Arabidopsis thaliana: one gene and its partners. The protein of the gene in region 3 interacts with the protein of the main gene of each other region in a pairwise test. Each region holds a gene or a part of one and is shown on either strand. Other genes may lie near its edges. The genes, in order: CRF3, AT3G24490, PAP2 and CIB1.

Region 1 (7,687 bases), on a different chromosome or scaffold from region 3:
TACTTGAACTAATTCTTACCCAAGTATCATGGTAATCACTAATTAGTTGATGACTTAAGAATAAAATGGAATGTATTTTAATAAAAGTTATAAATTCTTCTTGCTAACTTAATTTTATGGCCAAAATACAAACTATTTAATATCGAGATTTACGATCACCATGTTAATAATGTGTTATCTATCTAATCTAACACACGACCAACAGAACAGAAAAAAGGGACAATAGATTTTATAATCAACGGCAGATTATGTAAATCTATATAATATACATTTCATGTGAGTAATGATGGTGTGATCATTCGAAATAAAAGCTTTACGGATGGAGCGGTGAACTCGAATATATTTGTCCTAAAGAGATATAAAATAAAACTAAAAAATAGTGTAATTATGTTTTTGAATAAAATAAACGCAGCAAAGATATACTTCTATATGTTTATGTCATCAAATAAAAGAACAATATGATAACTATTATTGGAAACCAAATGAGGCGTACGTATGTCTCTGTCTCGGCCATAACAGACCAAGTGGTAACCTTATTGAAACCCTCTTGGGACAATGTCCTTTCACGTCACAAAAGCGAAGGCCACATTTATCAGTATTAGATTATATATAGGACTATACGTATCTTGTATGAGAAAAATAAAATACAAATGTCGATCGTATTAAATGTGATATGGAATTTAAGGTCTATGTGTGTGCTTAACTTATTTCCACGTAAATTATTTGTTTGAATTATGTCATTTGTCACCTACTTTTCTCCGACATTGACCGAATTTTCAAATGAATTCTATACTTTCCATTAGTTATTAATTATTAGTATTAAGAAATATACCAACCGGCAAAAAGGCAATAACACAACTCGTATGAAGAAAAAAGCGACGTCCAAAATCTTAGTCGAAGATAGTTCAGACCAAAAGAGATTGGAAGATGGACGTGAGACAAAAGAGAGTTACAAATATCAGTTACGTTGATAATTGATACAGTATATTCTTTGTGTTTTTCTACAGTAAGACATAATGCTATGTTGGTTGCAACTAATTTTAGAAATGCTGTTAGATATAGCTAGTCTATGAGCCTAACATCATTCTGGTCTACCAACAGATTACAAAATAGTCTTCGACTACAGTCTTAAAGTTTAAATGAAAAAAAAAAAAAAAAAACTCAAATAATAAATGTGTTTATGTAAGACGGATTTGATGTTATTCGTGATGCTTCAATGGTTTACAATTTATATTGTTGGAAAAATGCAGATTGATGAAGAATATAGATTTAATTTTGAGAGAGATTTTCTCACCTGGACAATTTTGATTTGAGTTGGAGAACGAACCATCTTTATATATTTACTTTATAAATTTCTTAAATCCTAATCGTATTTGATCCGTACTCTGCACACCAATAACATCTCTTACCAAGAATAGTTTTCTCTCAAATTACCAATAGGACAATTTAATGATTGATATCTGTGTTTTTTTGTATGTACGTCCACTTCTTCCTTTTAAGGACCTTCTCACAACGAACTTACAACTAGGTAAGATACTACCCTGTGAATCAATTTACCATAAATATGGAAACATATTGAATTTTAGATTAATTAATTTAATTAATTTCAGTGATATAGAATCACAATCGAACGATAGCAAAAGCTATCATGCAATCTTTGTATAACAGAGAATATTTTTTTTTAAAGAAAGCTTTTAAAGAAGAAAATAAGTTATAGATCATATTTCCCTTAGTTGAAAGACGTTTAGTAAAACAAGGCGATGAGTCGGTGACTTGGATTCAAATGAAATCTATATAGTTACATTCGATACAAAAACAATTACAAGAGCTTTTAATAAAAGCTTAGCAAAAGTTTAAAGAAACGAAAACAAATCTGCAAAGGTTTCATTATTATTCCTCCCTGCCAAGGTTTATTTTTCATTATTCTTTTACTTTTGTGTTAAGGTTTTCATTTTAAATTTATCCATCAGTTGTTAGGTAAAACTAATTTTAGTCAAAGTAAATTTTCCGAAAGCAATATATATTTATCGCATCCCTAACGATCAACAATTAAATTAGACAAAAAAACTTGCGAAACTATATATATTTTTCACCGAACGAGGTGTGTGTCTCACGAATGACAAAATGCATTAGCCTTTGAAAACCTGAAAACAAAGTTTAATTTTCTTCCCAGTGGTCAGAATGTTCTTATTTAGTTTATTAAGATCTAACACACTCAAGTTTCACTTACAAAAACGACCATCATGAATAAAATGTCATATGGATCCCAAAAATCCATCTAAAAAAAACACCTACCACCAACATGTTCGAATTCTAGAACATTGCCACACACTTGTCTTTAGAAAGAGTTCTTGAATGATATTCGAAAATGGTTACAAAAAGTTTGTGATGTGTTTGGAACTCTTTCCAAAACATTTCCATCATAAACATGAATTTCTGATAATGTTCGAATTTAGGATTTGATAGTAATTTTCGGAATAATAAATGATATAATTTTGTGTTCTGTACAATTAATTAATTTACATTTTATTTTGAAGTTTATATTACTGACAAAATTTAAGATTAACATGACTATTACAAGACAAAACACCTCTTCTCAACCAGACCAAACCCAAAGGCCAAAACCTCTCAGTTCACTGGCCACGACCGTAATTTGCGCCTCATAGTATGACTTTACAAAGAGAATGCCACTTTGGCTTTTCTAAAATTAAATAATTAATTAACAAAAAATAAATAAATGCCAAATGCTTTGAAAATTAAACACGTTCGTGCAACTAATAACGCAATTACTTAAATAAATAAAGAATACAGAATAATTAAACTATTTTTCCACTATTTCTCCAAAACTGTTTTACAAGCTCCTGACAAAACTAAATAAATTATTAAAAAAGAAACAAAAAAGCTCATGAACTTATGAAAGAAAAAAAAGTAACACCAAAATTTTTCAGTCACACCATAGATATTTGCTTGATGGTTTCTTCTTCACTCTCATCATCATATTAAGCAACTAATAGATCTGATATCAATGAATCATCAAAATCACTAAACGTTGAACCCATATCTTTGATACTAGAACTTGTTAACTCATCTTCAATGTTCATAGTTTCACCACCCAAGAACAACATATCATTGAAGATATCATCATTTTCACAGAAAATTTGATCCATTGGTTGGTCAAATATTGACATCTCTGGTGGTGATTCATTGAAATAGTTGTCAAGAAACGGAGTATCCAAAGGAAATGAATCGTCTGATTCACCTAAACCGGTATTAAACCCGGTATGCCACCATGGTGCATTTGAAACCCCCGGTTCGGGTTTAGCTGATTTAAACGGTTGTTGTACTTGTTGAATCTCTTCTGACCGGTGATTGAGAACCGAAGTAGGAGATGAGAGATGTTGTAAATCTTCTTCAGTTGATTCAGAACTCGATGTTGTTGGTGTTGGCGTCGTCATAATAACCGGTTTCTCCTCAATAACCGGTTCCGGTTCTTCTTCTTCTTCCTCTTCTTGAGGCGGTATGGAGAAATTAGTTAAAGCGTCCGGTCCACGGAGTCTTATAGCGGCGTTATCATAAACCACGGCAGCTTCCTCCGCCGTCTCAAAAGTCCCGAGCCAAATCCTCCGACGTTGCTCCGGATCTCTAATCTCCGCCGCCCATTTCCCCCATGGCCGTTGTCTAACACCACGGAACTTCTTTATCTGACCGGAGACTGAAACTTTGTTATTAGGACGTTGACGACTCGACGCCGGAGATTGAGTTTCATCGGAGGAAGAAGAGAGTCTCTTTCTATCTTTCATCGAAACTCCGGTGACGACGTTGTTACAGCTAGGCTCAACAGTGATCTCGTTAACGAATCTTTTGACTCTCCGGCGAGGAAACAAGAAATCTTCTTCGTCTTCGTCACTTGATGAATCTGTTGCGTCAGGATCAGTATAACAAATACTAACCTTTTTCAATGACTTACCACCGGAAAGTTTTTCCGATGACTTTTTGGTGTATTTAGTCATTGAAGTCTTGTGCTCTGTGTACTTCAATGGTCGGAAATCAATATATTCGTCCATTACTGTTTCTTTTATGGACTCTCTCTATATTCGCATCAAAATGAAGAATATAAAAGGAAGAAAAGCTTGCGAATCAAGGAAAGTTTCTGGGTTTGTTGAGAGAGATTTCGAGAGAATCAAGAAGAAAATAAAACAAAGTTTGAAGAGATTTATCACGAGATTTTTTGGTAACAAGAACAAAAGATTTTTTTTTGGTGGGTGAGAGAGAAAAACGTGTTATGAAACAGTGATTTTTTTTAGCGATTCGCAAGTGGAGACCTTCTCTAGCTCACTCTTGAAATGCTAATTTATAGGATCTCTTCGGGGTTTTAGCCATAATTATTTTATTCATTTTTACAAAAGTAAACAATAAATTCGAAAACTATATAATATATAATATTTAATATCATTTGATTTCTTTCCTTGTCGAAGCTGTTTCTTTCCGCTCCTCCATCAGTGGCATTTTTCCGTAATTAACTACAAAACTCCAAGGGTAGTTTCGGGTATAAGAGAGTTGTTTAAAAATACGGGACGCCGCATTCATGAGCGCAAGTCGCATGGTGACACGTGGCGATATTAGATATTTGGCTCCTTCCTGTATGTGCTGAGTCAGCGCGTGGCTTCTAGTCTCGAATTTCGCGATTCATGTCACGTGACCCCCAAGATACCCGGTCCCGGTTTTTTTAAATTTTTTTTTACCTTTTTAGTTTATTTGATACTAATAATAAAAACAAATTTACTTACTACTTCTCAACAAATTTTTTATCACTCCACTAGCTTTGACCGACATTAAGTAATTAATGATGATTGTTGAGGGTAACTTCGTCTATTTGAATGCAATTTTTCAACTTGTCACGTACGAATGTTGAGGGTAATAAAATAAATGCGATTTTTTAACTGTTAGGGAAATAAAATAAATGCGATTTTGTCAAAGTTGAATACGTTGTATTATACAATATACATTTTTCCATGTTAGATAATCGAATAATGTTAATTTAGGGAAGATGAATATGTGACTGAGGAAGTTATGTATTTAATTTTAGATATTAAAATGATTTTAGGACGAAAATATCTTTGAATCAATATAAATATGGTAGTTAAATTGAAATGTTACCATTTTACAGCTAGAAGTAACGTGGCGAGCAACCTAGGATTTGCCGCCATTTATAATTCGGTGGTGTGGTACGTCTCTAGGCTTTTTTCTGTACTCTTTGTTCCCTCACTCGCTCTTCCACCACTGCTTGCTATTCGTACTTTCCACGCGCTTCTCAAGTATCTTTTTTTTTTTTTTTTTTTGAAAACTATATTTTTGATTTGTTGTAAAAACAATCTTCTACTAATATCTTTTTGTTGGGGTTTTTACTTGGGTTTAGGGATATCAAAGCTTACTACATCTGTTCCTAATTTTTTGGACTAGTAAAAAAATTATTTTTCTGTTTGGATGGCAATGAGATTTGAAATTATGTTATTGTAAACCAAGATATGATATACTTGCTTTTTAAATAAAAAAAATTATGATTGTATTTTAATTAAGTAGCCATTTTAATTTTAAATTTTACTCTCTCTAGTTCATAAATAGTGTAATTTAGAATCGTTTTTTTCTCGGAAATATGTGATGTTACATTTCTGATATATTAAATAGGAACATTTAAATAACTTGAAGATGTAAAAGACTTTTTGTTGCTCAATAAACATAAACCATGTACATTTGATAGAGAAAATGTGTCAAATTAAAAGCTAGTTTACATACATATAACTTAAACACAAAACACAAACTCTATGCATGTACATATATTAAAGAGTTAAAGACAGTTAAGCCAAAAACAAAACTGGTCTAAATTAACATAGATGCATGATTTAGAACATAATAACATCTTCATACCAACCTGTTACAAACTTTATGAAGCAATCTGCAAAAGACTATCTCTTGCTGCTAATCCGTTACAAACTTTATGAAGCATTCTGCAAAAGACTATCTCTTGCAGCTAATCTGTTTTGATAAACTGTCTTTGAACTCATCTTGATCAATTTGTTGAAAGCCGTTTAAAATCCAAAAATAAATTTAAAGATTTTCATATTATGGTTTCGAAAGTTGAGTAGGCTTTACCAAATTTATTCTATTAATTACTAACTTGCTTGCTTTTTTTTAAGAAAAAATATATCTTGAGTTGTTAAAAGTCGCTATGAGTTTTATGTGATATAGATGGTACGGATTTAAACTCCCTTATTTTATTTTTGATGAAAAGAAAACTCTACATGCATTGAAATTGCATTTTTCTTGCTCCTTTATTTGGGGAAAATTCAGTTATTCTATGATTAAGACCTAAGAATTAGAGAAAGTGATAGATTTGAAGATGAAAGTCCACCAAGCTCGAAACTAGCCGAAAGCAAACAGAGACTACTAGAAGTCAATCCTAAGTTCCTGAACAACGGACGGTCAAACCGGTTTTTCTGATACGAATTTTAGTGACAAAGTAGAATTCAGAACATTTTGCTAATTTATCACAAATTGGAACCATTAAGAAAATTTATATCAACTAATGAATTATTGAATGAATAGTCTACCACAAAAACTATTAATCTAATAATGGTGTTGCCACTGTGTCATCATCAATCTTACGATTCAATTTCGATGAAAAACGTCTATGAATTAGAGACAGTAAAAATATGTTTGATGATGTGTTTAGTATCGATTAAGAAACTTTTCATGATTCTAAACTTCTAGTAAACTCTATACCAACATTGTGCAAGATCTCAAACATCTTTACTTGGGACTAATTGATAAATGGTGCATATATAACAGTGATTATTAGGAAAAAGAAGTGAGATAGTTTTCAAGTCTTTAAAGGAGGGAATTCCATATGGTATCAAACATTTTGAAGGAATATGATCGATGTGGCAATCAAAATTTCTAAAATGTCCATCTTATCTTCCAAAATGTACTTGTTATATACATGTGGTATATCATATACATTTTAAATGACTATATAAGACTAATTAGTAAACACATTAGAAATTTAGCTAATACAGTACATCATTCAGAACAGAGCAAAAAAAAAAAAAAAAAAAAACATCATTTATAATAATACGGAAGAAATATATAACATCTGTACTCGTTAAATATTCTGAAGTATATTTTTGCCTAGTTCACATAATTTTTTTTTGGACATGTTTAAGTCAATAACATTAGTTGTAGAACTAGTTCAGATAGTTGTTTTATTTTTAATGGTAAAACCGAAAAAGCTCTATAATTTTGATCATGATAGTAATTCCTTTTCCCTAAACGTAAAAACGAGAATTAAACAGACTAAAACTTTGTAGGACAACATTAGGTAAAGAAAATTAAAAGAAGGGACGTAGGCAAAATATGAAGCATGCACGTGGGACCCAAAATCTAAAGAGTAAGATAGCTTTGACCACATAAAATAGATACATAGGTGTAACGCATCCTCACACGTCCCCTTCTCTTTTTCTCCTTTTTTCCAAATTTTTCCTTTTAACTTTATTATTTTTAATCGTTATGTTTTCTTCTATTTAAGCCATATTGTTCTGGCGAGCCAAAATTGAAAGTTATAATGTTCAGATTTTTGCAATCTTTCTATTTGTTTAATTCTTTCATGTTCATTATTAAAGTTTTGTTAAAT
Region 2 (7,988 bases), on a different chromosome or scaffold from region 3:
TACCGTTTAACCGAGGGAGCTTGTCCTGAGAGCTACGGACTTCAAGTGGCACTCATGGCTGGAATACCAAACCAAGTGGTTGAAACAGCATCAGGTGCTGCTCAAGCCATGAAGAGATCAATTGGGGAAAACTTCAAGTCAAGTGAGCTAAGATCTGAGTTCTCAAGTCTGCATGAAGACTGGCTCAAGTCATTGGTGGGTATTTCTCGAGTCGCCCACAACAATGCCCCCATTGGCGAAGATGACTACGACACTTTGTTTTGCTTATGGCATGAGATCAAATCCTCTTACTGTGTTCCCAAATAAATGGCTATGACATAACACTATCTGAAGCTCGTTAAGTCTTTTGCTTCTCTGATGTTTATTCCTCTTAAAAAATGCTTATATATCAAAAAATTGTTTCCTCGATTATAACAAGATTATATATGTATCTGTCGGTTTAGCTATGGTATATAATATATGTATGTTCATGAGATTGGTCAAGAGAAATACTCACAAACAGTATATTAAGAAGGAAATATGTTTATGCATTAATTTAAGTTTCAAGATAAACTGCAAATAACCTCGACTAAAGTTGCAAAGACCAAACACAAATTACAAAACTTATAAGACTTAAGTTCTGAATTCCCTAAAACCAAAAAAAAAAACAGAACATATTTTGTTGCATCTACAAACAACACAAACCTACATAGTTTATAACTTACTCATCACTGAGATTAACATCAGAATCATTCTCCATTTCTTCATCTTCACTCTCATCATCATCACCACCACCATGATGATTCTCCTCCTCTTCACGTAACCTAGCAATCTCACTCTGAGCTCTATCAACAATCTGCTTCTTCTGCAACTCCAAATCTCTCTGAAAATCAGCTCTCATCTTCTCCAACTCCTTCATTTGCTCTTTCTTACTCTTCTCCATCTTCTCATAAACCTTCCCAAACCTCTCAACAGAATCCGCCAACATCTTATACGAAGCAGCGTCATTAACCTTCTTCCTCTCGTACTCAACCTCATCATCCTCATCCTCCTCCTCTTCAGAATCACCAGGACTATCCATCATCTCATCAAACCCATTAGACTTATCTAAATAAACCTTAGTGTTCATAAACACAAACTCACCTGAATCAACACCACAAGCTAAACCTAAATCCGACTTGGGCGAAACACAAAGCAACATATCCAACTTATTGAAAAACGACCATTTACTTGAACCTAAACCTGATTTCTCAACCTTAATCTTCTCTTTTCTATACTTCCTCTTCAAGTCATCAATCATTCTCCTACATTGCGTCTCAGATTTCTCCATCCTTAGCTCCTCACTCACTTTCTCAGCTACTTCATTCCAATCCTCGTTCCTCAAACTCCTTCTACCCAATTGCAAAAACCTATCTCCCCAAACTTCAAGCAACACAAAAGCTTCTTGCTCTCTCCAATCATACGCAACTTTAGCATCACTAGGACCAGCAAATTCAAACCCAGAAACTACTTTGTTTGGTTTCTGTCTCTTCTGAAACCTCTCATTTCCACGAATGTATCCTCCTTGTGGATCTTCCTCTTCTCCTTCGACTTCATCTTCGTCTTCTTCTTCATTGTAATACGCGTGACGCTTAGGTATTGGTCTACTATACATTGGATGGTTTTGCCGATTCAAAGAGTAAAACTTTTTTGGGTATCCTGTTTCATCTTCGCTGTCACCCATCTTTGAGCAAAACCCAGAAAAGCAAAAGAAGAGAGAAGAAAGGCAGATCTAGGGTTTCAAATCGGACAGATAGAGATTTACCTGATTTTTGCACCTAATAGAGGAATATCTTGGAGGGTTTAGCTTTGAGAAGAGATAAGTAGAAGAAATTGATGAGGTTTATAAACCATGGCCGTGTCTAGGGTTAGGGATTTGCATTTTCAGCCGGGTCGGAGTAGAAGAAAAGCTACCACCACCGGTGAACATTGCCTCAGCCAGCGACGGAGTTTTGTCGCGGCGTTTGTTGGGACCATCCACTGGGTCATATTGGGCCAGTTTGGACAGCACTAATGGGCCAAGAGGACCACAATTATTTAATTTTAACCGATAGCCCAAGAGTTCCCAACTAAAACTAACGATCATTAAGAAAAGGAGAGTCTAAACTCTAACGAATATCAGCTTTGGTGTCGGTTAACTTATGACTTATGGGGTCAATTTCTGACATTTAGGGTCATAATATTTTGACCTTTAGCGTCATATTGGCTCAAAGGATTTGAAGCTGTCGATTTTTGGTGGGTTCGAAGATCTGCGAATGCAGTTACTGATCGACTAGCTAAAATGGGTGCCATTGAAACAATATGTTATTTTGATTCTCTGCTTTATATTCTTAAATATGCTACGTATGCTTTTAATTAATCTGAATAAGTTCAAAAATTAAAAAGGGCTAAGTTTTATTTTTCATATCACGGTGTTATTACTGAACTTGCAAGAGTTTAAGCTGCAAGAATATGAATTGCATAAGCATCTACTATGGGAGCCTCGGTTGTGGGAAATCTCCATGTGTCACATTATGATTCATACGTTTTTGAAAAATGTGAAAGTGTATCCCAACGATAATTCATTTAATACACTATGTAACGTATAATTTTTTAAATTATTAATGATGAAATCTTGTTTGAAGATGATAGTATTAAATTAAGTGGACTAAAATAGAGAAATGCCAGAACTCTTTATTTAATAATTGTTTGTTTCTGTGTTTTAATATAAATAAATGAATGTTATGCTTATTGCCAATGAAAATGTCGACCACGCTTCAATGTTGGTGAGTAATTATTATGCATCAAAAAGGAAGTAAGTATAACCTTAATGGAAATGATCATGGTAGTGATAAGGATCATAAATAATCGCAACGAATTTTGTTGCATCAATGCATCATACTATTGAATAACTAACACTAGTCTCGTACAATTTGATTTTAGGTGTTTAAATCTCGTTAGTGTAAATATAACGAGATAAACATTTACAATACAAAAAAAAAATTGAATTGTGTGACCTTGTAAGAACAGATTTTCGAAAAAAATTAAGAGTTGAGTCATTGATATGAAGAAGCTTCCAAGACAATGATATATGAATTGGTTAGAAACAAGAATTAATATTAATCATAACTCTTAAGTAACTCGGTCATTCCCACATTGACATAAGTAAAAAATAAATTTTAAAAGATTTGATACTTGAGTTTGGTATTCCTGCTAAGTAAAAAAAGAAGAAAAAGATTTGATACTTGAGTTGAGTTGGCATTGTGGACTTTAATTTCGTTTGAATCTCATTAACATGTTAGGCTTAATTATAATTAAACCTAGACGATTGACCTGTTTTGTGGGTAGATGTACCAATATATTTCAATGATTATAAAGGTTTAGTTTTGATCTCTAAATTTTCAATTTTTTTTAACAGTTTCATTTATAAAAAAAATTAATACAATTTTTTTATAAGAAAAACAGTATAGTTTAAAACAAGCTTTAAAAATTTCAAGTCTCAAATCAAATAAATAGAGATTGTTTTTTATGAGACAGTAAACACTACAACATCAACTTTCTTATAAAATATAACAAATTGTTTTACAAAATTCAGTAGGTAGAGTCAGACAGGTATGTATTCGTATAATTTTAACTTTTCAGATTTTTTTCATTAATGTAACTCATAAAACGTTTAAATAGATTAAACAGTGACATCTCATAATTACCTAATACTGATAAAGCAACAAACAATTTTAAGGTAATAATATAGTATTTTTATAAAACGGTTGAGCTAAATATTTGAGATACATACTCATTGTTCTTTAGTATCCAGTACTACTATTTACACAATCAACAAGAACAACAAAATTGTGATATATATTACAGTTCCTCCACATGAAAATAATAAAGTGAAGTAACGGTCCTAGGCTCCTAAACGGATATCTTGGGAGAGAGATGTGAACAAACTTGAAAATTCGTATGAAAGATTTTTGATAAGCCAATCATATTACATGTCACAAGATATCGATGAAGTGAAAATAAAAATGAAATTAGTATTTTATGGTTGGAAGGTCGCGTCGAGAACATAAGTGTAACGGAGAGAGAGAGTCAATGAGTGATCATAAAACCGTTACGAAGTTTCTCAAGTCTTTGACAACAATCTCTTTCAAACGCGTTATGAGTGGTTACGTTCGCTCACTCCAATGCCAACTATGTTGCTTTCACCAATTTTTTGTCTTTTGTCTTTACTTTGAGGCTTTGAGCATTTATTTCTTAATCTTTTATTTATTTTTATTTATTGATTTGACAAATATATAGTCCAAAAGTATCTTCGGTGATTTTTTTGGTAAGGGGATTCCTACGAAAGCAGGATGCTCTATTGCCAATAATATATATAGTTTAGTTAATTAATGAGGAAGTTTTTGGTCTAGTGTTAAAGATAAAATGTTTGCCAAAAAGTTGTAAAGCACTTTGATTTACATGAGATTCCAAATAGAAAAGACTTATTGGATGGAGAAGAAAAGAGAAATTGGTTATAAAGGATTTGATATTTAACCAAAATAAAAATTAAAAAACAAATTTGATGGGACACTGACTTGGTCTCTTGGTTAGAAGAAAAGAGATTTTGGATGGTCTGGTTGCTAGTAGATGATCTCAACCATAGTGGTCTGCTTCACCTCACTGGTCAAATGTTCATCTAAGCACTAAGATTTTGTATTTCTCTACGCAAGAACTTTTATTCTGTGTGAGCTTCCAGATTCATTAGTACTGGAAGGTAAAAGTAACTCTGATACATACTCAACTAGAGAATGAAGTTCACATATCTATAGAAGGATAGAAAATACAACTAATAGCAAATGATCATATACTCTAAGAAATAATTTCTTACCTCATAAGAAGATATGACAACCTTGTCATCTTCACAATTGCATGATATTTTCATAGTACATAATGTTACATACAATTATCAAAAATAGACTATAGAGTCTTTATTTTTTAAAAAAATCGCCAAATTTATAAAATTGTATGATTAGTTGGTGAAAAAAACAGAGATGGCTAGAGTGTATGAGAAACATAATGAAATGAATAATGAATTAACAAGTAACACTTGATGCACACACAAAAAAAAGAAAAAAAATCAAGGAACACTATTTTTTTGTCAATCATAATGCATTACAAATATAGAAAAGGTTTGTGGTGTATCATCCATTACAAGAACCCGATAATCCTAGAGATACAATAGCGTTATAGTAAATGTACATGAATATTTTGCTAATTGATCCGTCATTTACCATCGAATCTTCTAGGGTTTTTGAATTCTTGTGCATGGTTCTCATGAATCACATCTAGTCTATTAAGGAACATTATCTTCCTTATAATTACATTAACAAGACTAAGCATATAATAACAAAATACTTAATTTTATTTTATTCATTTTCTTTAAATTGAAAATGGCAGAAATAAAGATGTTGCATTGTTGGCTCAACAAGAGAAACTCGATAACCTATATTCAAATGTACAAATTATGTTTAAATAGTAATTAAAAGCATTTGGGTTCTTAAGATAATGAATGAATGTTCACACAGTATTTAGCGCACAATCAAGTGGACAAAAGACGTTGAAGACTTCATGGGAAACTTACCATGCGACCTACCTAGTTATTATAACTTCTTTCACTTGGCCTCCTCATATAGACGAAGCCGGTAACAGATGAAAATGTTGATCACCTCGTTCTATTATTTAAATCAAAAATTCATGACAAAATTTAACCGCATAGCATTGTTGATTTAACAAGAGAAGTGATAACCTAGATTCAAATGTATAATTTAGGTTTTAAGAGTAATTAGAAGCACTTGGTTTTTAAGAAAGTGAATGTTTGAGTATTAAAAATAGCAGTTGGTTTAAAATTTAAAAAGAATAAAACAGTACCAATCGTTAGATCATTATAGTTTTACTAGCATATTAAGAAGTGTTGCGAGATTTGTGATGAGAAAAATAGTGGTTACTTTCATATAAGCTCAGGTGAGAAATCTATATGTTTCTCCACGGAAAAGAATACTATGCATATTATGCATAATTTCCAAATTTATATACAATACGTACAAATCTAATAAAATAATCAAAAATATGTATATGTTTGCATGGTTCACTCTAGATCCTCCATACTAAGCTCCTTCATCAATCATCAACGGCTGATTTTTAGTGCAACACTTTCACCTTTTTCAATATTTTACACTGTAACAAGATCTGAATACTTGTATAATTCCTTCATATGGAGACACGATCTCGTGAATTAGTGAAGTTTGCATTATTTATGGGACCTTTTGGCCCACAAGAAAAAGTGTCAGGATACAAAACTTGTGTGTATAGGACGAGTTATACATACTTCTTAAACTAGTTTGAATGTTTAATATACGTCTCGACTCACTCTAGATGACTTCAATTCCTTCACATTGTTTTTCAACATAAAAAACATATGACTTCTTAAAAATACAAATTCAAATACTCTATTGTAATTCGGTTCTTACAATTCTTTTTGGCTATTGGCGAAATGTGCTCCTTTTGGCACGAATCATTAACATAACTTTATTTAAAAACTTCATAACGAATGTTTTACATGATGATGTACCATGGATACCAAGTAAATTTGAACAGAAGTGATTATGCAAAAGTAAAAAGCATATGGTTATTTTTCTACATATTTGTTTCGTTAAAGTAATATACTATTAAATTCGACTATCCAAAAATCGACACATGTCGGCGACCTAAAAGCCTCGAACATCCCGCTGGTCTATGAGAACATTACCTGATGTGTCAAAACGTCCCCACACGGTGTGCTTCATTGCGGCAATAACTAAGAAAAAGCTCCAAAAGCAAACTTAATTAGACAACTAATCTTTTGATTACTAAAGCGATTCGTTTGGTCCTCCTTCTAATGATTTTTATAAAACCTGGTAGTTAGGCTGTTAGGTGTCGCGAAATTCTTATAATTTATTATAAACCTTAATGGAGTCGGTTATCAAATTATTTGTATCCATGCTTTATAATAGTGTATGGGTTTGTAGAATGAATAAAAGATTCGAAAATGTATGGGTTTTATAATAGTGTTTTGGGTTTTTAAAACAGTGTTATACTTCTACATATCTTTTATGAAATCATAAATCTGCTGACTTAATTGTTTAGTGCTGCTCCTTGCCAAAGTTTCTGCCCGTGAAATGATAATGCTAGTGCTATAGAATTTGATAAATGTTTAGTAATATACATTAGAAAGTAGATATTATTATTAGGGTAAAACTAGGCTAATAGGCATTAATCATTCAGGTTATTATACGTGGATGTTGAACTCACAAAATGTTTACTAAAGATCGTTGGCATCAATATGTTTCGAAAGATTGCGAGCTTGCGCATCTCACCACCTAATGAAAAGCTGGTAGATAATCAGAGACATCACACATATATTCCCAAAACAGTACATGAACAATCATCACCGTAATCAGTCGAATATGTTTATTTTGATAGCATAGTCTAGGATCGAGCTTTAGCGGCGCATCAAATTTATGAACCATGTGATTCTTGCAAAAGATCGACAAGTAGCTAATATATCCGTCCCGCAAATTCGTAACATGTATCTGAATTCAGTCGAAGTAAAACGTTACAATAGCATTTTGCATCTCATAAGAATTTTTTTTTCTTAACTAGACTCTCTTATCGTATTAATTTTTTTAAACATATATTACATACAACATTTCGTTCGCACAAACAATTAATCTAGCAATGTGCATGGATTCTCGGCACTTAGGTATACCGTAGCCATCAATGATATGCCAATTTTTTTTTATAATGTTTTAGGTTTTTGTAATGCCAAATGCAGGGAATTTTATGAAAATGATTTAAACAAATTATCCACTAGCTACCAATAATATCATAGTTATTATTAACCTAAATCTAAGTGACTAGACACCACAACAACCTTATAATATATTTATGTATTCTAAATAACAAATAACCAT
Region 3 (8,299 bases):
CTGCGTTTTTATGTACACACCATTCTTCATTGCATTTTTCAATAATAGGAATCTAGAGATCATTTGAGAATTGAGGCCGAAATAGCACTGTAGTTTCTGCCTTTTTCTTTATCTAGTTACATTAATTACAAACTTTTCACTAATTTTCCAACAAATTTATCCATCGATCGGTTCAACGTTTTTTCAGTATATATCAAGATCATTATACATTTAAGATTAATAGATTTTTCGACTCAAAATTGTGTGTATATAAAGAAGAAATTAGTATATGAAGTCGTTAAATAGAACAATGTGAATATTCATCATGTGGAAATTGAGCATTCTTTTTCTTCATAAATCTTGATAGTGGAGCGCAATATGCATATATATTAAGCACATACGTAAACCCATATCATTGAGTATGACTTAGAAACGTCGACTCTGATGGACAAAGTCAATCTCCCAATATCAAGCACTTTCTATAATGTAGCCCATACCATATGTATCTTAAAGAAAATCAAATGAATCCCATGATTACAATCTTTGAAATACCTTAAGAAAAAAAGTTAATCTTATTATATAAAGTACAATTTTGAAAGTTACTAACTCACGAGATCATGACACGTGGTTATTTGAACGATTTTAGATTTTGACATGTGTTTGATTTTTTTTTTTACTTTTTCCTAAAAGAAAATAGAAAACTAAAAAACAAAGATATTTATATATACTAATTAATATGTTTATATCTAAATATTTAACTTACAATTTTCTTATCTAAAATATAAAACTAACAAGAAGATGGAGTGTATATAATTAAATTATATAAAAAACTAACAATAAGATGGAGTGTATATCATTAAATTATATATTTTATTATGGTAAAATAGGTATTTAAATTGTATTGCAAAATCGAATTTGTAAGATTGAAATTTGGTTTAAAGAAATACTAAATTACATACTGAAAAAGTATGAGAGTTACGTTACTATTTAAAATTCAAATATCATTAATAAGATGGAGTGTATAGGGACTGCATAATCCGAGTTACTCATGTGTATAGTAAAACTAATCGCATAGTGAATGGATTAGCAAACTATGCGTTTTAATTACTGCTCGGTTTATATTTATTTGATGTTTGTCCAACAGTTGTAAGTCCGACATTGTCAGAGGATATAAACGGGATGTCGTTTCCACAGAGTGTTTGAATGTAGTTTTTATGTTATAAATAACAAAATAGTTTATTATGATGAAATAGATAGTTAAAATATAAGTAAAATTGAATGTGTATGATTAAAATTTTATGTAATATAAAAATTACTATATTAAATATTAGAAAAAGTGTGTAGATTACTATTTACTATATAAAGTTTAAATATTATTGATAAATATTTAAATAAATTTATATCATACATCCGCCTATTTAGGCGGCCTTATCTAGTATATATATATGAGGGCGTGTGTAGAGATTATACTCAGCCACCAAACGATCCAATATTATATATATGTGTGTGTGTTCTATATGTAGACAGCGCCGAAATTAATAACCGCATAAGAAAAACAAAACCGGCAGTTACCATTATGCGGTTTAATTTGATGACAGGTTAAAAAATTATATCGATCTAATTTGATGACAGGTTAAAAAATTATATCGATCTAATCATTTATAGCCATCGGATTGATTCGATATGGTAGGTTATGAGTTATAATGGAGCATGAGGTTCTTGTATGGATGTTAAATCAAGGAGGGTAAGTGGCTTCTTTGTCTAAAGATTCACACTGTCTCTTTGTTCTTTTTTTTTCTTCTTTTTTCGATTACGACACAAACCGATCTTTCACTAACGCTGTAAGTACGGTCGTCCACTGATTTAACATTTTAGGTTTAGTGTAATTCCATTCGATCCTCAACTAACTACATAGTTTTCAATTATAGTCATAATTATTATGCTTGATGAAAAGCAGAAAAAAATGAAAAAACATTAAGTATAACATCAGTACTAAAAATAAATAAAATTATAGTATGTATTTGTCGCTCACACAAGTCTATAAACAAACATTCAAAACCAACATTTTAAGTTACTTAAGCTGTCTCTCGCTAGTATAATTAAACCCTAGAGTTACTTATGATGTCTCTTGTTAATACAGTAAACCCAACGTGGCCATATATAATAATAACAATAATTAAAACCGCCACATGTGATGCAACATCCATATAGATAAGTAAATACTTTGGGTAACTCCAACTAATCTTTAGATTTTATAGCCTTCATATGATTTCTATAGTGATAGACACATTTTTACTAAAGATTCGTATCCTTAGATAGCTTTGTAAGTAACTAATGGCACGATTAGATGGTGAGTTAAGGTGGAATATAAGTTGAGATGTCCCAAAAACGACAAAAACCTTGCCCAAAAAAAGAGAGAGACAAAGGAAAAGTTAAAGAAAGGCACCTTATGATTAAGACACTCGAACTTACACTAAAACACAAATCTAAAAAGCTTTAGATAAGATCCAAAGATGGATCCACCTTAGAGGCAGGCTTTAACCAAATTACTATGCATATGATATTTTATAATACTGCAACTTACAGGTCTTTTTTGTATGTCTTCTTGCTATGTATATACTTATCGTTGTTACAAATGAATGACTTAATCAATACAGCCAAACAATATATAAATCACTGGTAGAATATAAATGACAATATTTCATATACTTCTTCTCATGTTATATTGTTATAGCATCAGATATATTGGTTTAATAAATATGGGTTAAAATATGAGTTGAAACGTTTAAATGTAGATTGAGTCATCCACTTAAAAAATATACTTGGAGATAGATTAGATGGGCATAAATACTATCAAAGTTAAATCTGATTTGATCATTTAAACTTTTATTAATTTAAGACTATGATCCAAGTATCAAAGTTTTACTAATAGGTCAAATTGTAATGTACTGTAGCATATATGCTCGATTTTGGGAAAACATTGTCTGATAAAAATGAAAAGTGGAGTGTGGAGACCACAATTCTTTTTGGGAACACTGCTCAATATTGCTACTGCGGCTAAGTGGCAAAGAGCTACCCCTACTGTTTCTTTCCTCTTTTCATGCTTCTGGTGGACCCAAAAAATGAGAGCCTATGGGCCCAAAACTTTTTCGAGATTCTCTTCTCTGTTCTCACCCCCAAGCCTAAATATCATCTTCCATCGCAATTATTGGCGACTTACTAATAATCTCCATTCGTTAGCTAAACTACTAGTGAATTTATACAAGTTTGTGAAGTTTAAACTCCAATACGTTTGATTTATTATAGAATATGTTATGCTATCATGCACATGATTAAATGGTTCACCGTTATTAGATTATCATTATCATCACTCAATTTCATGAGTAAAGATTGGTTTCACGAGCTAACTTATGAGTTATATCAAATCGTCTAGTGAATCTAAAACATATAATGTTAAGCCAAACTAAACAGAATTAGTGACTCATTACAACATCTCTATACATATATCAAAAAGGAATTGCATACAAAAGCGTATTTTAGATACTAAATCGTTTTGCATGATAGCATAACATGCACACCTTCATGAGATAGCAAATTGTTTTTTTCAAATACAAAAGTAAAAAGTAAAACAAAACGTGGAATACGAGAGTCGAGACAAGGGCATAATAGGAAAGGTTTCAGGACGCTTTCTGTGACCTGTCGGGGAGTAGATGTCTACACAAAACGTAACGTGTATATACAATACATTCATGTGTACCATTTTCTTAAATCAACATTTTGTGTTTAAACCCGCCAAAAGAGGAAAGTACTTACTTCTAATTACGGTTTATATGAATATAAAATTACGTATACTACTTCCGTCCACTTTTGGAAAATAATACGATTCCAAGAAAAAAGAAGATTAAAGGTAAAAAAATAAAAAAAAATAAAGCTCTCTCACACACCTTTTTATCATTTCTCATTTTCACTCACAATTTGATCTCATCTTTAAATTTTTTTGTTTCCCATTTCTCTCAGAAAGTGTTCTGTTCTTTTTTTCTTTTGTAATCACTAAATGCTTCAAAAGTTTGTCCACAATTATATTTGAAAAAAATGTCTGTATCTGTAGCAGCAGAGCATGATTACATAGGTTTGTCAGAGTTTCCAACCATGGAAGCAACAACAATGTCTGACAAAACCAAAACCAGAGACAATAACAACGGTCTCAATTTCAAGGCTACCGAGTTAAGACTCGGTTTACCCGGTTCTGAGTCGCCGGAGCGAGTCGACTCAAGATTCTTGGCTCTCAACAAGAGTAGCTGTCCCGTGTCAGGTGCCAAAAGGGTGTTCTCCGACGCTATTAACGACTCTAACAAATGGGTCTTCTCTCCTGGATCCACTACTGCTACTGGTGATGTCGGCTCGGGTTCTGGTCCCCGTACCTCCGTCGTTAAAGATGGAAAGTCGACAACTTTCACTAAACCGGCTGTTCCGGTTAAGGAGAAGAAGAGCTCTGCTACAGCTCCAGCTTCAAAGTAAGCTTTTTTTGCTCTGTTTTAGATTTTTCTCAGCTTTTTTGCTCTGTTTTATGATTTCTGTGAAGAGGGATTCTTGATGTTTTTTTTTTTTGATTGAGCAGAGCACAAGTGGTGGGATGGCCACCAATAAGATCATTCAGGAAGAACTCAATGGCTTCTTCTCAATCTCAGAAACCTGGTAATAACTCAGAGACTGAAGAAGCAGAAGCTAAGTCTGGACCAGAACAACCTTGCTTGTATGTCAAAGTGAGTATGGAAGGTGCTCCTTACTTGAGGAAAATCGATCTCAAGACTTACAAAAGCTACCTTGAGCTCTCTTCTGCTCTTGAGAAGATGTTCAGTTGCTTCACCATTGGTAACGTTTTCTAGTCTCTCCTTCTTTGAGATCAATACCAGTGATTGAGTTAACTGTTTTCTTTTGGTTCCTTTTTTCAGGTCAGTTTGGTTCTCATGGAGGGTGTGGCAGAGATGGGTTAAACGAGAGTCGCTTGACTGATCTCTTGCGTGGTTCTGAGTATGTTGTAACCTATGAAGATAAAGACAGTGACTGGATGCTGGTCGGAGATGTCCCTTGGGAGTAAGTCTTTGATTTTTAAAAGATCAATCTCAACAATGTAAATTAACATCAAGTATTAGATCATATCTAATGATCTTAGCACAGTTTTAGCTTAACAGAAGAATATAGATCAGTGAAGCTCTCTTACTGTTTTTTCCTCTGCAGAATGTTTATATGCTCCTGCAAGAAGCTGAGAATCATGAAGAGCTCTGAGGCTATCGGCTTAGGTTAGTATTTCTTTACTAAACCCTAGTTTAATGTTCCACACCCATGTGCTCGATTTTAAGATGTATTAGAAAGGTGGTCCATTTTGAACTAAGACACCCTTCTAATACTTTCATGGTTCTTAAGCTTCTCGCTGGATTCTATAAACATTCTGAAGCTAAAGAAATATATTACTGGAGAAACTAAAACGATGCAATTTAGTCCTTTCCAAGCCTCTTAAACACTAGGAACTTACTGCACACTACTGTACAAATGAAGAATACACAATGATTCATACACAAATCTTGCTTTTTCTTTTTTTGCAGCTCCAAGGGTGATGGAGAAGTGCAGAAGCAGGAACTAGGAAAAGCCCTTTTATGTGATAATATATGATTTGAAAAAATATGTTTTTAAGAAATTGAATAGCCATTTTGTTTTGAAGTATTCTTGTGTGTTTGTGTGCTAGGAGTGATGTTTGATCTTTCTTAAACCAGCCTCTACTAAGCTCTAATAAGGCCTCTTCCTCTTACTTCTTTCTCTAATCAATCTAATGAAACATATGGGTTTGTGTATGTGTGTTTGCCAAGGAAGACTTCATAATTCATATGTATAAAAGTTTTGGTAGTGTGTAAACCGGATGTGGTTTTCATTGTTATATATGTTTTGGATGCAAACTTTACTATAGAAAATAGTTTTTCTAGTTCATGAGTTTCCATGAAATGAAGTTATAATGATCCTTTGATAGAGCTTATATCATTCAAACAAAAGACTTCAAAAACAAGGGTTTATTACTAGACATGTACAACGGGTTTACAAGACGCACAACACTTACTAGCGTTTTCACATCTTCATACTAAACATATATATCTATACTACTAAAGAACCTAATCCTCAGATTCCTTTCTTTATGACTTCTATGTACAAAACGAAAGTGAAGACACCCACAAAGGCTTACCGGGATGACAGAGTACCTCCGATATACTTCCTTATGTCTCAGTTTTTCTGAAAACTCCAGCTTCTCTTGCTGAGGTTGCTCACTATCCAGCCAAAGTCGAGTAGATTTTGCCCGTATTGTATCTTCACAAGGTAACTTCTGTAGGGTATTAGTATGCTCTTGAGACCTGAAAGCATTCGAGATAGATGGTTTCAAGATACATCAGTACATCACCAAATGGAAACGGCCATTATCAAATATTACTACCTGAATAATAAGGTAAATTATGAAATAATCCCACATTGATATAAAAGCATAAGGAGATTGTAGTTACCTGTAATGCACATTGTTTTGTAAAAGTGAGCAACTTGAGCATCTCCCCTAGTAACTACACGCTTGTTTGATTCCAAACACTCAAGAAACGCCATGTCAGCTTTAAGCAACTCTGCCTGGTCATGAGTATCATAACCAATATCATGGCAATAACAGCAATGATCTAACCAATCAATAGGTCTCTGATCCCAAACCATCGAACCTCCATCTTTCCCACTAGACCAGTTAGGTCCACAATAATGTCCATATCTCGGGAAAAGCTGTGACAGAAACGCCCTCGTCCCTGTATGCCACGGAACCTTAGACACATAAGGTCTAAACCGATAAACAGTATTCACACCATTTGATCTTGATGACCTCCGAGAAAGAGCATGCCTTTTTAACCCTCTGTTGATAGTAGTGGGTTTCTGCTTACCATCAGAGGCATTTGCAGACCAAGGAAGAACTGAACTGAAGGAGGACCAAGTCCATATCTTTATATCAAATAAGCCTTTCTCTTTCTCTGGCTGTTTGAGAAGAAAGGTTGTTGCTTTCTCTTGCTCTGGCTGTTCCAATAGAGAAGTTGTTGTTGGTGTCACGGAATCAATCATAGCTACATCTTTCTTTGTGCTGATGCTACCAAACCAAGATATACTTGGCAACCCAAAATTCATCTGTAAACAACAAAACAGTGCATGCAATGACTTCAGCAATCAAGTGTGATCCAGACAAAAAGGGAAGATTTTTATCTTTTCAAATTGGGAAAATTTCGAAATTGCGAAAGATCAATACTCAAAACCCTAGAATTGACTAGTAAAGAAGAGTAAATCGGATCTCGAAAATAACAGAGAAGGATAATTCGAATGAGCTTTTGCATTGAGAGATTGGAATGTTCACGAACCTGAGCTTGAGAGACGCTACGAGAAGAGACAGACACACGTTTTCGTTTTTTTTTTCCTTAGCAAATGACAACCTCGGAATATCGTTCGTTACTTTATGTCTTTATCTATCCCTAAATTTTATTGGGCTCAAAATGGGCCGACCGACCTTTTTTAGCCCACAAATTATAAAAGGAAAAAAACATTATTGTAGTGTATGTAGTAATTCGGTCGGTTTGATTTTTATATTTAGATATAATATCCAAAAGGAAACAAAAAATTATTTTATTTAGTTTCACTTCTTCAGGGAAATTCATTTGAAACTTCTATTTAAAATAAGGTTTAAAATTTCATTATAACCAATCTTTCTCCGAATTTAGTGTATAATGTCACATTGTCACTAAATGCACATTTATATAATGCAAATCTCATATTTTCATGAACAAAAAATTACAGGTTTTGATTAAAAACTAATCAAAATGTGAATACTGAAGATTTTGTCTACAAAACAAAAAGGAAGACTTTTACTTTAAACTCCATGACACAAAACAGAGCTCCCTTATTTGAAAACTTTACTTCGTCTGTCTCATCAGTTATCTTCTCCAAGAGTAAACTTCACAAACCTTCTGACTTTGATGTTTTCCCCAAGAGTAGCCACTGTTTGCTTCACCAGATCCTTCACCAGAACACTGTCGTCTTTGATGTAAGGCTGCTCAAGCAATGCCCATTCTCCAAGCCTCTTTGAGATTCTTCCTTCCACAATCTTCTCCCTTATGTTCTCTGGTTTCGACAAAAGATCCTCTCTTTGCATCTCAATCTCTTTTTCTTTCTGCTTTATCTCCTCTGGAATGTCCTCTATTGAAACATATTGCACCTGCACGTAGACATTTCAGGTCAGAGACCAACAACCAATTTATGC
Region 4 (8,050 bases), 2.2 Mb from region 3:
AGAAGAGTATCAAGAAACTCGCTCACGGTCATGTATTTGACATCAGGGTAAAGCTCAGTACCATTCACTCCACCACAAGACTCGATGTCGAAGTATGTGTGATCTCCTTTGATAAAGACAGAGTATATGAATACCATCTCCATGTTATCCGGATATGGAGTTTCTGCATCATAGAAACACAAAGCTCAAGTTTAAAAAAACAGTTTTGCAAATATGTTAGTAGATGTGCTGATGATGTTATGATGATGAACCTTTGATCTTCTTGAGAAGTTGATTCTCTGTAGCAAACGTTTTCTCAAGCTTCTTCTCAATCTTGCCCTCCCAGAGCTCGACAAGATCATTCATGGAACATATGTTTCCGGGCGGGCTAAGGTACAAGGTCTTATTCAGTGTTCGAGGATCATCTATCGTCTTGATAGTAAATGCTGCAACATCGACATCATTCACGAAAACAGCTATACACAAAACAACACAGAAAAAAGAAACACTCAAATTTCAGACCACAAGATTGTATATTTGCAAAAACTTGTAGCTATAGAATTGAGCAATAAGGACAAACCTTTAACGTTTCCATCTCCAAAAACTGTGACTTTATCTGTTGGAGGAGATTGAAGCCCCGGTTGCACAAGCGATGGAAGTAGAACTCTCATGAACAGTCCGCAGCAAATGTATGTATATGGAATCCCCTCTGATTCTATCATATGCCTAATCTCTGATTTCTTCGAATAGAAGTCATGATCAAGATCCGAGACTTGAGTTTTATCAGGATTTGCTCCATATTCAGCAGGAATAAACCTCTGCAACAGTAATTAATCCATGTTCTGCTCTAGTTAGATATCTATCCTCTCAATCTCATCATCAGCCAAAAGTAAATTCAAGAACAATATTAAACAATACTACAATGTGATCTATACTTAAGACATGATCGAATTGGTGTAACAAAAAAAAATCCATGATTAAGATATAAGAAGAGACCTTGATGGAACCAGCTTGTTTGATAACTCTGACGAGGAGTTTCTGATCAAGAACATGTTTTGATGGAATTGCAGAGATCACCACATCTACTTTACTCACTGCTTCTGCTAAGCTTCCTTCATCCTCCAATGAACCCTAGAACCCATCAAAAACCAAATCCAAATGAAAACAAGCAAAAAAAGCCAAGACTTTTTCAAAGAGAAGTCCCCCAATAAGAATCTACAGAAGAACCCTAATGAGGAAATTACAGAGATATTGCAAAGAGAGAGACTTTGAGGAGGGTAACGCCGGCGTCGGAGAGAGATTTCAGCTTATCGGAGAGAGTGGTGTTTCTGATGAGAGCGAAAGTCGGGTGACCCGATTCGATGCTGAAACGGGTCAAATAGTTCCCTAATCTTCCTGTTGCTCCGATGATCAAAACTCTGCTCTTCTTCTTCTCCTCCTCCATTTATATATACTCTCCGTATAGAGAATTAGGATAGTTTAGTTCCAATGGGTTGGTCATAGGTTTTAATCTCTGACTCAGTTCTCTTACATTGTCGTCGTTTTGTCCGCCACGCTTAACAGGTGTTGTTTATTCAATTGCTTTAAATTTGGGATTAGTCCCGCTTTTTCAAAGTAACCAAAACATAGATTAGAAGATTGTTAGTGATAAGATGTAAAACATAACGTTAAACGACTGGTGTCTTGTTTCTTGATTTCATGGTCGCATGACTTGTGGCATTGTATACTAAAAAAAAAAATACTAATGGATGATCATTCACCACAAGAAGATGAGAACACACCTTGAATTAAAGACACAAGTCCACCGATAAGAAATATATTACTGGACTGGTTTGCAAATTATACACAATAATGTCTACACTCTTTGATACATCAACTAATGGGCGGGGGATCTCAAGTCAATAATCTAGTGGAATTAGTAAATAACAGCTACTGGTTTGCTCTCTCTTCCGATGAATAATTTGAATTAGGGAACATTGTTATGTTGTGGATTGGTTTCTTAATCAAACTCCTAAATTGCCATAGAGATTCTGCACATGAGAGTCCCACATCGAAGGAGCTTCGCCATTCTGTAACAATCAAAACATATTTAGTAAAAAATTATCATATCCAAAGTTAAACTAAAGGATAGATCATAATGAAAGAGTATTAAAAATATGACTTACGTTGAAGCATGACAATGGATCAGAACTGGTATTCACTTGCTGCATTGGATTGACATGAAGGTAACCGGAGTTAACCATCTCACTAGAATAACCAGAGTGAACCATCTCATGAGAATAACCGGAAAGAACCATTTCAGGAGATGGCACCACAGTCATTGGAGTTGAGGCAACCTGGTTTTGAATCCACATGGCGTATTTTAGCTCATCTATAAATAGCCTTTAAAGTTTTGTTTTTCATATAAGCATAAACAAATCAATGACTAACCTCTTTGGCAAAAATGTCATCCATATCAAAATCCGGCCTTGGATTCACAATTGCTAGTTTCATCGATAAGAACTGTTTTAAACAATATTTTGATAACAAATTAGGAAGGTAATGCAAAATTAGTCTTTAAAACATATTTTCTATAAATGGAAATAATTTTCAGACCTCGATTTGTCTCTGAAGAGACTGAACATAGTTAATGATTTCATCAAGCATCCCTGCTTTGCCTGTGATCTTGTCGCATCCAGGAACCAAATCTTGTAGAAACTTCATTCTCTCACTGATCTTTTCTCTTCTAACCTTCACAAATTTAATACTTTAATAATTAGTCTCAATGATTACACAAAAAACAAAGTTAATGAATTTTAGTTAATGAGGCTCTCTTACTCGTTCTGCTATGCTGTGACTATCAGTGGCTTGGCCTCGTCGTGCACGAACATGAATATAATCCGTTTTCTCCAATTCCTTCGTCACTTTAGATGAATCATTAGAGAAATTGTTCTCTTCTTTCTTGGCTTTGTGTTTCATCTTCTTGATGCTTTTTGTGCTCCCATTGTTTTGCTCTGTTATTTTCGACTTCTCTTCTTCTCCTTCTTCTACTAGGTCATCTCTGTTCATCGTCATCTTCTTCTTCTTCTCATTACAATCCTAAAAGCACACACAGAAGAAACAGATAAGCCAAATCTCAAAGTAAGATCTGTTTTCTTTTTCATTTATAGAACTTAAACTTAAGTTTTCTTTACACACGAACCTTAGTCTCTGTATCAAACTTCCGTTTCTTGAAATTTCCAGTCCCAAGCGTCGTTTCCGGCGAAATTGAGAGTCTTGAATCACCTTCCACCGTCGTCTCACCGTACATCATCGGAAGATTCAAACCGGCAGTCGAAAGATAGCTGTCCATCTCGCCGCCGGTAATCATTGAAGAATCGGCAAAGAAGCCGGCGAGAGGAGAATCAAAGGTGGGATTGAGGTACTTGAGGTGAGCCCTTTGGCGCTCTAGGACCGACATGTCAGGAAAATTGAGCAAAAGGTCACCTCCTATAGCTCCATTCATCGTTATCGTCTTCTTTGGATTCAGAAAACAAGTTGCTTGCAACGAGAGAGAGAGAGAGTGGAGAAAGAAACAGAGTAAAGGTGAGGGTAGAAGAGGAAACGATATTTATAACAAAAACCATCAGCTCTGTACTTAGTCCATATTCATCGCATCTAATAAGGTAGGCCCATATACAAATCTGGAAACTTTATATGTTTTGTGATAATTGATATTTGCGATGATTGAAAATTGAGAAAATAACTAAAAATAGTGAGTGACACAGAAAACTTATAAAACATTTATTACGTAATATATGCATGTATTATAGTGTAAATTGGATCTTGATTCACTAAGAAAGGATAAGCTTGGGATGTCTATGCGAATTGGAGCGTCTCTTCTTTAGGTTTCTTTCATTATAGGAGCACGTGAATGGTCACGTGGGAATGGTCTAGTTGTAACACAATGAAAAATAATTTTGTAGTTTACAAGCTAGTTATGATTATATGAATCAGATTGGTGTGTGCGCTAGATATTTCACCTAATTAAAATGGGGTTACAAAGAAAACACTTTACCTCATTTCAATAGCTCTGGTCTTAGTTTAGCTACGAAGCACTGTTCACATGAATTTATTACATCCTTCGGAATCTTGTTATTCAGATCGATCATCATCATGTGTCTGATCGCCATGCTGTATACATTGGCTTACTCTATCGTGATAGGCTAATACTGAGACGGCGCAAGAGAGGCTGCCACGTGATCGCCATGCTCTTTTTCGATGCAGAAGGCCCATCACATGAATTACTCACAAGTTAGTTTTAGTCTTAGATCACTTTCACCGATTTCGGTGAGCAAATATTTCGAAGAAAAGGACCTTCCATTAAAGTATATATGACATTGTTTTAGATTCTCAAATATTTTCATTTATCCGACTTTTTATGTTATTGGAAAACGCTTTATGTGATTGATATAGGGACATGAAATCTTCTCGATTCTATAATGAAAACCCAACTCTCTTTTATTTTGCTTAGTCCAGTTATATATTAACCTTTAAAGCAGATACATGGAGTTAGTAGATAAGGAAAGGGGAGGGTGTAAAGTTGTTAGAAACAAAGACATGGTCGTTGCCTTTTGATGTGATGAATTTGGACTAAGTCCATAGAAGATGATGATCAGCTATTTCCCTCCCTATCATACTATACATGCATACACTAAAAAAAGTAAAGCCACACACCTAATTTGTGGGTTCCCCATCACCTTGTACATATATGTTCATAAATTCATGTCGACATGTATGTAGATGTTGACATTTGATTCGGTGTGTTGTATTGGAGATAGTTATATTATTTATACAAAAGTATTTAAATACATCTATCCAATTTCTTTCCTTAAACTGGAGAATTGATCTGTGCACGTATATTTATCTATGTTTAATTAAGTGTTGTTACTAACTTACTAAAAGATATCTATATCAATTTGTATATGGGAGAGTTCTTAATTAGAATTAGAAATTGCTGTAAAAAAAATTAGAATTAGAAACATATCATCGACGTAGAAATTTCTGATGGAACAATAATGAGGGGAGATCCAATGGTCATGACTCATGAATCATGATCACATGATGGGAGCCTAATTCCTATATGATGGGTTATTCTCGATATATGCATGGGAATTAGACGTATAAATAAGAGGACTTTTTTTTTTTTTTTTTTTTTGGGTTTTAAAATAAAGAAGAGTTGTGAATTTTATAAACTTTCATATAACTTGCATGTATTTTAAAGGTATACAACTTTCCTAAGAAGTCTTTTTCGTCAAAAGAAGAATTGTTTTTTTTTCTTAACATCCAAGAAGTATTTATATTTTTTATGGTTACTAGTTATTGTTATAAAAATGATTTAATGATAAATGAGTTATTGTTATATAAATGAAAAATGTATAAAAATTGTCTCTGACCCGTTGCTCCATAGTTAGTTTTTTCATTCTTTTGTATTCTACGGTTAGTTACTATAATTTCCTTAAAATAAAAGATTTCATGTTGTAAAAAGTAAGAAAAACGCATCTTTTGAAATAAACAGATATATAAGGTGAGTTTTAGCCAAAAAAAAGAATGAAAATATGAGTGTCTTTTTTTGGCTGATGTAGGCTCATCGGGGACTGCTCCAACTCTCTGACACTTATCATTTTTAATTATTCAACTATCAATTGAATTTTATGGGCTTCCCTACTTTCAAATCTAAACAATTCAAAATCATACATAAACTAAAGTATCCATTTTTATATTTAAATCTAAACAACCAGGAATATAACTTTCTTCACATAACCTAGACGGCAGACAGAGCTGGTCAGCTGGATGAACAAACAATCACAAAGAGTTGATTTTAGTTCTAAGTTAGGTAATTAAACAGTCCCACAACATAAGCTATTATTTATTATTTAGTGAGCTAATTAAGACAAAACGCATAAATCGATATGCTTACAAAATTTTTGTTTTACAAATCCTTAATTAGAGAATAGGAGTGAATGTTTATAAACTTTCATTTCTTTAAATATTTTATGAAAACTAAAAATATACTGTATTTTAAAGATGATTTTGTAAAAGAAATCATGTAAACCTAAATAGAAACGCTTAAAATCGCGTTTGAAACTATAGAAGAATTGAACTTCTTTATTTATAACGAAAAAGAGAGAACATAGTAAACATCTAATCATAACCAATAAAAGAAAGGAAAGACAAAGTAAACGTTGGCACTCAGATACATCAAATTAGGACCGACCGTTTTGGACATGAGTCTTTGACTTTGACAAATCAGAATCAATTTTAACCGGATATCTATCGATGCAATGTTGCCAAGGACTATTTGCCGATGCCTTGACATTGCGTAGAGCCACCCAAACCGCACTATTACACTTAAACCCTGATCCTAAAGCAATCTGCCAAGCTTTATTCCCTTTCTTCATTCTTCCCTTTGCCTCTATGTATGCTAATTCATACCAAATTGAGCTAGATGAAGTATTCCCAAATCTATGTAACGTTGATCTAGATGCCTCCACATCGATCGGCGATAGTCCTAAGTTCTTCTCTAGCTCATCGATCACGGCTCTGCCTCCGGCATGAATACAGAAATGGTCAACAGCAAGCTTGAAATCCGGAACATAGTAATGCTTGATTTTATCCTTTAGAAGTTTCTTGGCGACGAAGGTAGCGAAAAAAAGAAACTTTTCGCTTAAAGGAAGAATCAACGGACCCAATGTTGCTATATTTTTCGTAAGTGTTGTCCCCGCAACATTGGTTATGTCCTTTGACAGACAAACTCCGATTTTGCCGCTCTCATCGTCTTCTTGTTGCACACATCGAAAAGACTTGTCATCAGCTCCAGTATGCGTTCGGACCGTGTGAACTAGCTTGTACTTGGACCGTCTCCGGTCTCCCGACTTGTTAGAGAGCAAAATCGCGGCCCCACCAACACGAAACAAGCAATTGCTAACCATCATTGATCTATTTTCTCCAGCATAAATGCCTTGTGTGATGTTCTCAGTGCTCACCACAAGAGCATAAGTGTTTTTATGAACATGCAACAAGTCTTTAGCCAAATCAATGGCAATAACACCAGCACTACAACCCATTCCTCCTAGATTAAAGCTTTTGATGTTGCTTCGGAGCTTGAAAGTATTAACGACCATAGCGGATAGCGAAGGAGTTGGATTAAACATGCTTGAGTTCACCACAAGTATACCAATCTCTCTAGGGTTAACTTTGGTGTTCTCGAATAGATTTTCGAGCGCACCGATGATAACCTTCTCTGTCTCTTCACGTGACGCTGCAAAAGTCTTCCGCGGTGGTACGTGAATGAGTCCCTCAGGACTGTACGTCTCATCACCTAGACCTGAACGCTCTTGAATCTTCCTCAGGAAATCGAGCGAGGACGGATCATCACATGCCACGTTCCGTGAAGAAGTATCAGCTTTTCTTATTTGGTAGAAAATATCCATGACTTTAGAGACACTAACTTTGAGATGCGGTGGTGGAAGGTAACACGAGTAGTCAACGAGATAAACCGGATTGGGTCGGGTTACGATGTAGAGAACCAAACCGAAAACAGTGAAAGCAAAGAGTAAAGTTACTGTTATAAGGTTGTGTTGGAGATAGGAAAGGAAGTTGTGGAGATCGTTTATGGTAAGCCGAGAGGCTTTTCCGGCGAGGAACGCCGTTAACGGGAACAAACAGAGGTTGAAAAAGTTGGTTAAGACGTAACGGTAAAGGAGCTTAACGTTAACGGACGTCATTGCTCTGTTTGTGTCGGAAAATAATGGAGGAAGCTATGAGATGTATTTGTATGGATCCTCTTTTGTGGTCCGTTACGTTTTACAAAGCATGCATTTAGACATGTGTATACTCAAACTCATGCATCCATACACATTGTAATAAAGTAGTAGTCCACTGAAAGTTGCCAAAATAGCAAAATAGTACATTGCAGAAATATATATACTAAATTCATATATTTCGATGGAAAATTTCGGTTTTCCACTTAAAATAAAATGTACGTATAAACTTAGTCTTCTTTTAACGCCAAAAAAAAGTCTACAAATTTCTGTCTTTAATACTACATTAT

Evidence for each region.
Region 1: the proteins of PAP2 (region 3) and CRF3 interact in a two-hybrid assay, tested with the Arabidopsis thaliana proteins (one large-scale study listed by BioGRID).
Region 2: the proteins of PAP2 (region 3) and AT3G24490 interact in a two-hybrid assay, tested with the Arabidopsis thaliana proteins (one large-scale study listed by BioGRID).
Region 4: the proteins of PAP2 (region 3) and CIB1 interact in a two-hybrid assay, tested with the Arabidopsis thaliana proteins (one large-scale study listed by BioGRID).

What each region holds. Positions count from the first base shown.
Region 1 is NC_003076.8:21,614,962-21,622,648, forward strand, and holds CRF3 (cytokinin response factor 3), read right to left. Parts: upstream 4,321-7,687; 5' UTR 4,065-4,320; coding exon 3,000-4,064; 3' UTR 2,753-2,999; downstream 1-2,752.
Region 2 is NC_003074.8:8,904,736-8,912,723, reverse strand, and holds AT3G24490 (Alcohol dehydrogenase transcription factor Myb/SANT-like family protein), read right to left. Parts: upstream 2,303-7,988; 5' UTR 1,703-2,302; coding exon 701-1,702; 3' UTR 501-700; downstream 1-500. Other genes in the region: MSH7 (MUTS homolog 7), read left to right, coding at 1-306.
Region 3 is NC_003075.7:14,320,986-14,329,284, reverse strand, and holds PAP2 (phytochrome-associated protein 2), read left to right. Parts: upstream 1-3,923; 5' UTR 3,924-4,071; coding exon 4,072-4,493; intron 4,494-4,597; coding exon 4,598-4,851; intron 4,852-4,931; coding exon 4,932-5,073; intron 5,074-5,217; coding exon 5,218-5,279; intron 5,280-5,582; coding exon 5,583-5,620; 3' UTR 5,621-5,989; downstream 5,990-8,299. Other genes in the region: AT4G29070 (Phospholipase A2 family protein), read right to left, coding at 6,250-6,377, 6,525-7,176; emb2726 (elongation factor Ts family protein), read right to left, coding at 7,970-8,254. UniProt on the Arabidopsis thaliana protein: Aux/IAA proteins are short-lived transcriptional factors that function as repressors of early auxin response genes at low auxin concentrations.
Region 4 is NC_003075.7:16,493,879-16,501,928, reverse strand, and holds CIB1 (cryptochrome-interacting basic-helix-loop-helix 1), read right to left. Parts: upstream 3,539-8,050; 5' UTR 3,464-3,538; coding exon 3,161-3,463; intron 3,058-3,160; coding exon 2,797-3,057; intron 2,710-2,796; coding exon 2,575-2,709; intron 2,482-2,574; coding exon 2,410-2,481; intron 2,316-2,409; coding exon 2,145-2,315; intron 2,049-2,144; coding exon 1,983-2,048; 3' UTR 1,755-1,982; downstream 1-1,754. Other genes in the region: AT4G34540 (NmrA-like negative transcriptional regulator family protein), read right to left, coding at 1-163, 252-455, 560-797, 976-1,110, 1,247-1,423; KCS18 (3-ketoacyl-CoA synthase 18), read right to left, coding at 6,204-7,724. UniProt on the Arabidopsis thaliana protein: Transcription factor that binds DNA to G box 5'-CACGTG-3' and, to a lower extent, to E-box 5'-CANNTG-3' in vitro. Binds to chromatin DNA of the FT gene and promotes its expression, and thus triggers flowering in response to blue light.